Linked DNA regions of Macaca fascicularis. The protein of the gene in region 1 purifies or fractionates together with the protein of each later gene. This does not show direct contact. Links are inferred from orthologs where the notes say so. Each region holds a gene or a part of one and is shown on either strand. Other genes may lie near its edges.

What was found. The genes of interacting proteins can lie anywhere in the genome.
Region 2: the proteins of POLR2D (region 1) and RNGTT purify together in Homo sapiens (affinity purification with mass spectrometry; 3 studies listed by BioGRID and IntAct, with this or other methods). This does not show direct contact. The link is inferred for Macaca fascicularis from reciprocal best matches to the Homo sapiens genes POLR2D and RNGTT.

The regions. Positions count from the first base shown.
Region 1 is NC_088386.1:3,679,278-3,682,925, reverse strand, and holds part of POLR2D (DNA-directed RNA polymerase II subunit RPB4), read right to left. Parts: intron 2,308-3,648; coding exon 2,127-2,307; intron 1-2,126. UniProt on the Homo sapiens protein: Core component of RNA polymerase II (Pol II), a DNA-dependent RNA polymerase which synthesizes mRNA precursors and many functional non-coding RNAs using the four ribonucleoside triphosphates as substrates.
Region 2 is NC_088378.1:86,408,429-86,412,737, reverse strand, and holds the start of RNGTT (mRNA-capping enzyme), read right to left. Parts: upstream 2,806-4,309; 5' UTR 2,596-2,805; coding exon 2,532-2,595; intron 1-2,531.

The DNA of each region.
Region 1 (3,648 bases):
ACGGCCAGGTGTCATGGCTCGCATCTGTAATTCTAGCACTCTGAGAGGCCAAGGTGGGCTATCACTTGACGTGAGGAGTTCTAGACCAGCCTGAGCACCACGGCAAAACCCCGTCTCTACTAAAAATACAAAAATTGGCCAGGCTCAGTGGCTCATGCCTGTAATCCCAGCACTTTGGGAGGCCGAGGCGGGCAGATCACCAGCCTGGCCTGGCCAACACAGTGAAACCTCATCTCTACTAAAAATACAAAAATTAGCTGGGTGCAGTGGTGGGCGCCGGTAAACCCAGCTTACTCAGGAGGCTGAGGCAAGATCACTTGAACCCGGGAGGCAGAGGTCGCAGTGAGCCAAGATCACGCCACTGCACCCTAGCCTGGGTGACAGAACTAGACTCCATCTCAAAAAAAAAAAAAAAATCAGCCGGGTGTGGTGGTATATGTCTGTAGTCTCAGCTACATGGGAGGCTGAGGCATGAGAACTGCTTTAACCTGGGAGGCAGAGGTAGAAGTGAGCCAAGATTGCACCACTCCAATCTGAGTGATGAAGTGAGACTGTCTCAAAACAAAATGAAACAAAACAAAAAAAAGGTAGAGGAGGTCGGGCTTAGCAGCTCATGCCTGTAACCCTAGCACTTTGGGAGGAGGCCAAGGCAGGAGGATCACTCGAGTCCAGAAGTTCAAGACGTCTCAGCCTGGGCAACATAGTGAGACCCTGTCTCTAAAATAAATGAATAAATACAGAAAATAAAAATAGCTAGGGGAGAAGACTTGAACTGTTCCTAATACATAGAAATGATCAACACCCTAAACACCCTAACATACTCATTACACATTCTAAGTAACAAAATATCACGTGTACCTCACACATATGTACAAATACTGTTATCAAAAAAAATTATATATATACACATATATATATAGGCTGGACATGGTGGCTTACTTCTAATTCAAGCGCTTTTTTTTTTTTTTTTTTGAGATCGAGTCTTTTTTTTTTTTAAGATGGAGTCTCACTCTGCCACCCAGGCTGGAGTGCAGTGGCACGATCTTGGCTCACTACTACCTCCACCTCCCAGGTTCAAGCAATTATCCTTTCTCAGGCTCCCAAGTAGCTGGGACTACAGGTGTGCGCTACCACGCCCAGCTAATTTTTGTATTTTTAGTACAGATGAGATTTCACCATTTTGGTCAGGCTGGTCTCGAATTCCTGACCTCAAGTGATCTGCCCATCTCGGTCTCCCAAAGTGCTGGAATTACAGGCGTGAGTCACCGCACCCGGCCAATCCCAGCATTTTGGGGGGCTAAGGTGGGAGATCAATTGAGGCCAGGAGTTTGAGACCAGCCTAGGCAACACAGTAAGTCTCCCCATCGCTACAAAAAAATAACGAAAAAACCTTACTTCCCCACTAACAGTACCATTTGGATCACACATACTGGACTTATATAAAATACGACAGAGTCATATTTGAATCTGTTCCCAGACTGGAGTAAAGTGGTACAATCACAGTTCACTAAAGCCTAACCTCCCGGGCTCACATGATCCTCCCACTTCAGCCTCCCAAGTAACTAGGACCACAGGTACCTGCCACTACACCTGGCTAATTTTTGTATTTTTTTTGTAGGGACAGGAGTTTCACCATGTTGCCCATGCTGGTCTTGAACTTCTGGCCTCAAGAGACTGGTCCACCTCAGCCCCGCAAAGTGTGGATTATAGGTGTAAGCCACCACACTTGGCTGAAATTTTGGTCTTCTAAGTTACCCAGGCTGGAGTTCAGTGGCGCAATCTCGGCTCACTGCAACCTTGGCCTGCAGGTGCAAGCGATTCTCCCACCTCAGCCTCCTGAGTAGCTGGGATTCATGGTGTATACCATCACACCCAGCTAATTTTTGCATTTTTAGTAGAGACAGGTTTTTGCTATGTTGACCAGGCTGGTCTTGAACATCTGGCCTCAAGTGATCTGCTGCCTCAATGTCCCAAAGTGCTAGGAGCATAGGTGTGAGTCGCCATGCCCAGCCCAACATTATTTTACTTAAATTCACAGGTGACACCTGGGAAAGGGGGAGGGGACAGCAGTCCACATGCAGTTGTCCAACGGTTTGGATTAATAAAAACTTTCTTTCAGCACTCACCTACGAACACTGGCAATGGTCTCTCTGTTTTTGAAACGACTGAAACGGGCTGTGTAGTTTAATGTTTTCATGAAGACTTCTGAGAGTTCCTGTTCATCCTCTGCACTCTCATTCTGTTGCTTTCGATGTTCCAGAAGCATATGAACTTCTGAATTTAGAAGTGTCTCAGCTGTTTCAAACTCTATTTGTGAGAAGCATAAATGGCAGCTGAAAATACTCCTTCAAAAGTTTGCTTCTAAATGTTCATTGTGCATCTGAATGCACAATGATCTCCCTGCAGAGATGCAGGGGTTTCCTACCCCACATCTACTTTTTTTCGAACTGTTATTTTAGGTTCAGGGTACATGTGCAGGTCTGTAATACAGGGGAAATGGGTGTTGTGAGGGTTTGGTGAACAGACCATTTTGTCATCCAAGTGATAAGCATAGTACTGACAGGTAGTTTTTCAATCCGCACCATCCACCCCCTCAACTAGGCCTCAGTGTCTGTCGTTCCCTTCTGTCCATATGTATTCAAGGTTTAACTCCCACTTATAAGAATGTGAGGTACTTGGATTTTTGTTCCTGTGTTAATTGCTTAAGTGAATGCCTCCAGCTCCATCCATGTTGCTACAAAAGACATGATTTCGTTCTTTTATTTTTTTTTTTGAAACAGGGTCTCAATCTGTCACCCAGGCTGGAGTGTAGTGGCATGAATACAGTTCACACTAGCCTTGACCTCCCTGAGCTCAGGTGACCCCCCACCCCCACCCCAGCCTGCCAGGTAGCTGGACTGCAGGCACGCGCCACCACGCCCTGTATGATTTTGGTAGAGACGGGGGTTTCGCCGTGCTGCCAAGGCTGGGATCTCGTTCTTTTTTATGGCTGTAGCTACTCACATCTTTACATTCACCCACTGTTACATATCACAAGGCAAAGTGGAGTTCACGAGACACTAACATTTAGCTTGTCTGAACTAGATTATGACACCAAAAACCTGACCTAGACATGCTACTAAGTAGTGACACATATAGACTAGTTACTGATTTCAAGAGTACACTGACAATTACTGCCCTCTAGCCTGCATCAGCTCATCATCTTCCTACTTCGATAATGCTAGTATTATACTCTCAATTTTAAGAATTGTTACGTGTTAAAAAGAGCCAAATGTCTAGAAATAAACATTAATAATGTACCCCCAAATCTATTTTTGTACCCACACAAATGTTATAAGCAATTTTTAAGAATTAGGTTTGAGAGAAAAAGAAACCCATGGCCCCTTTTCATAATATATGGCTACCTTCTACACTTCTAGAATAGTTCTGTTAAAAAATGCTGTTACCCCTTGGGAAAATCACTCTCTCCCTTATGTTCCTGCAGGATCTTATGTTCCTGATGTTTATCTCAAAGTATTAGAGATCGTTTTTATCTGCCCTTCTCTTAACAGTGAATTCCCCTAGAGCAGGAACCATTCATAAACATGAATTCATGTTTATAATCCCTCACTGAAAAGGAAGCAACAGTGAGGAAAAGCCAGAATGACT
Region 2 (4,309 bases), on another chromosome or scaffold:
ATATGTAGTTAGTACCATTTTCTTTCTGATTCAGGAAAATTATGAACTTCTAGTACTAGTAAAGTGAATCCTAATATTTGCAACATATAAGTTTGAACTGCCATAACATTTTCCTCAATATGCAAAATATCAAAGAAATTACTGTGATGGTTAATACTGAGTGTCAACTTGATTGAATTGAAGGATGCAAAGTATTGATTCTGGGTGTAGGGGGCGTTGCCAAAGGAGATTAACATTTGAGTCAGTGGGCTGGGAAAGGCAAACCCACCCTTAATCTGGGTGGGCACTATCTAATCAGCTGTCAGCACAGCTAGAATATAAAGCAGGCAGAAAAAAAATGTGAAAAGACTTGACTGGCCTAGCCTCCCAGCCTACATCTTTGTCCTGTACAGGATGCTTCCTGCCCTCAAACACTGGATTCCAAGTTCTTCAGTTTTGGGACTCAGACTGGCTCTCCTTGCTCCTCAGTTTGCTGACAACCTATTGTGGGACCTTGTGATTGTGTGAGTTAATAGTTAATAAACTCCCCTTTACGTGTGTGTGTGTGTATATATATATCCTATTAGTTCTGTCCCTGTAGAGAACCCTTACTAATAAATTACACGATTAAGTACAAATTACTTTTTTTTGAGATGGAGTTTCACTCTGTCACCCAGGCTGGAGTGCAGTGGTGCAGTCTCGGCTCACTGCAACCACCGCCTCCCGGGTTCAAGTGATTCCCCTGCCTCAGTCTCCCGAGTAGCTGGGATTACAGGCACACACCACCACGCCATCATAGCTTTTTGGCTATTCATATATCTTATTTTGTGAAGTGTCCAAATTTTTTGCGAGTTTTTAAGTCCTTTGAATTTATTCTGTATAATACATTGATGGTGGGGCTATCAAGTGTTACCGCTTTGGAAAAGAGGTTGGCAGTTTCTTAAAATTCTTAAAACATACACCTATTATATGATGCAGCCATTCCTCTCCTAGAGATTTACACAAAAGGAATGAAAGTATATGTCCATACAAAGAATTGTACATAAATGTTCACAGCAGGTTTATTTGTAATAGCTAAAAACTGGAAACAACCCAAATGACCATCAATAGATGAAGAGGTAAACAAATTGTGGTATACCCAGAACAATGGACTACTACACTGCAATAAAAAAGGAATAAACTATTGATACATGCATAATCTGGATGAGTATCAAAATAATTATGCTTAGTGAAAAAAGCCACACACACTTCCTTCCACCCCAAGCAGAGTACTCACTATATGTTTCCAATTATTTAAAAATTTCTAGAAAATGCAAACTATAATTACAGAAAGCAGATCAGCAGTTGCCAGGCAAAGAAGAGATTTAAAAAGGGACAGGAGGAAACTTTGAGGGGTGATGGTTTCATGGTTGTTTCCTAGGAAAGAGATGTATTTGTGTATATATAGTCAAAATTTATCAAACTGTACACTTTAAAGCCTATTGTATTCAAGCTCAATAAAGATGAAAAAAACTACAAGAAAAATGATTTAAAGAAACAAAAACCAGACCAAGCAGGGTGGCTCTCGCCTATAATCCCAACACTTTGGGAGGCCGAAGTGGGAGCATCGCTTGAGTCCACGAGTTCAAGAGCAGCCTCGGCAACATAGTGAAACTGTCTCCACAAGAAATAAACAAAAAAATTATGGCTGGGCGTGCTGGCTCACGGCTGTAATCCCAGCACTTTGGGAAGCCGAGGCGGGCGGATCACTTGAGGACAGGAGTTGGAGACCGGCCTGGCCAACATGGTGAAACCCCGTCTCTACTAAAAACACAAAAATTAGCCAGGTGTTGTGGCACGCACCTGTAATCCCACCTACTTGGAAGGCTAAGGCAGGGAGCCGATATCACGCCACTGCATTCCAGCCCGGGCGGCAGAGAGAGACTATGTCTCAAATATATATATTATAAATGTGTATATATATATTAAATAAACAAAAAAAGTAGCCGGGTGCGATGGCAGGAGCCTGTAGTCCCGGCTACTTGGGAGGCTGAGGTGGGAGGATCGCCAGCCTCAGCGAGAGACCCTGTTTCACAAAAAAAAATAAAAACAAAAAACTAACAAAAACACCCTCCAGATTCCCAGTCTCAATGTGACCCCATTTCACCGCTGGGAACCGCCCCTTCCCTCCTTATCCTCCTCCATCTCAAGACTGACACTCATCCCTTCTAATTCGAGGGGAAGGTTGAACCCTAAAAGGTTCACAAACTACTAAGACTCAAAGTACGCCCACTGTATTCCTGGATCCTCACCTCCTGCCACCAACCTACTGTCTACCTTCACATTCGCACAGTTAGCCTGGCAGGAATAGTGACAAGTGCCCCCCATCCGCCGACCATCCCCTCCCGTTCATGTTCCCAAACATTCGTCCACGAAGCGTAATCAGATGGAGCATATCCCACTCCTGAAATACCACTAACGGGCACAGAACCACCAAAAGCTGAGCTCCTCAGTCGGCCCACCCCCGGGCACGCTGGAGTGTGGGGATTCGAATACCCCCCAGTCCAGGTTACCTGCCACCGGCTGGCCGCGCCGGGGACAGTTCAGCCACCGCGGCGGGATCTTGTTGTGAGCCATGTCTTGGGGGCTGCGCAGAGCTGCCCTCCCTCACCAACGTTCGCCGCGCCTTTGCAGCCGCCTCCCCGTGGTCCGGTGCGCACCGGGGTCCGAGACACCCGAATCGCAGCAGTAATCCGAATTCCAGCCGCTCAAATCCGGGTAACGTCAGGGGCAGCGCGCCACTTTCATTCAGGATCAACTCCACCGCTCCAGGAGAACCCACAATGCACTGCAACTTCCGCCCCCGAAGGCCCCGCCCCCTTCTTTCCGAGGTCAGAGGGAAAGAAGAGGAAGCTCTGCGGAAGGATAGCAAAGAGTTAAGGCGGCGACGAATGGGAGGAGCGGTCCGTCTCTCGCCCCGCTCGGCCCCGCCCCTCCCGGTCGCGGTCCCCGGACGCGCACTTGCGCTCCTGGTTTGCCTTTGCATATGTGCAATTGCGTTTGTACCGAACTCCGCAGGACGAAGCGTGTATTTTTTTCCAATCTAGACAACCTAGAGAAACCCAAAAAAGAGGGAAGCCAAGCCCCTTTCCATGCGTTGATTGCCCGTCACTTCCATTAAGGCATCTGTTTTACTGATGAAGGAGGCCTTCTGAGCGTTACCACAGCGCAAGCTTGGCGTCCCAGCTGGATCTAGGTTTGATTTGGTATTAGGGAAAGTTGTTCAAGGGAATAAGTCTTAGGAGAATTCTAAGGGCGTGAGATTGGAGTACCAGAAATGGGGAATTTTTCTTACGGTGAGTACTTACGAGGATCTATGAAGCGTCTGAAATTAATTCCAGAACACTTAGAGTTTTGTTTGTACATTTCTTTATCAAAGTTTCAAAGCATACTGGGGAGTTTGAGAAGGTCCATGTCTCCAAAAAAGTTACTAAATAATGTGTATAATTGACAAAGGCAGGAGTTGCTCAGTGGAGAACCGTTTCGTGGCGGTGTTCTCCTCTGCCTACCAAATAAACAGTCCCTTTTATTTTCCCTTCGAGTTAAGCAGAGGTGCTTGGAAGCATTTTATGAATGCCGTCCTTTAACGAGCCTTTCCTTTGTTACCAGATTAAATTAGTGTTAAATATAAAGCTGGATGATGGCAAATCAATTATAAAGTAGTTTGGCTTTAAACACCAATGCTGTATTGGAACTGCAAGAGCATAAGGCTGCAGGGAATACATTTTTAAAGCTTCGATGGGGAACTTTCTGGGAAACTCAACCCCTTGAATGCCTGGACCCCCTCAGTAAGAGTCCCATCAGTAGAGACAGTCTGACAGCCATCTCTCTGAGGCAGCCTGAGTTAGGTCACACTTCTGGTCTGTCCTGCTGTTGCGTCTGCTCAGAACTGTTAGTGAAAGTGTCAACTCCTCCCCTGACAGAACAAGATAATACCCAGTTTGTTTTAAGGCCATCAGTCTACCCAAATAATCTCCTATTAATTCCCTTTTCTGCTGATAGAGTGTGTACCATGCCCAAAATGGTAAAAAAATAAAACCTTCCATCCCCAGCCCCCTTCAAGGATGGGAAAGGTGAGCCTGATCCTGGAAGAGTATCTTACCTTCCCCTTCTGGGGATGACTCCCCTTGGAGACTCCCCTTCCCACACACACTGTATCTACCCAGTAGCTCAGTTCTAGGCACACAGAGGCTTCATACCACTGGTGAGCAACTATTATTGGCTGTAAGGCAGCAATGTGCACTGGATTTTTACTCAGCTATCCAGTTATGCCCTCTCCATACTCAGTGCC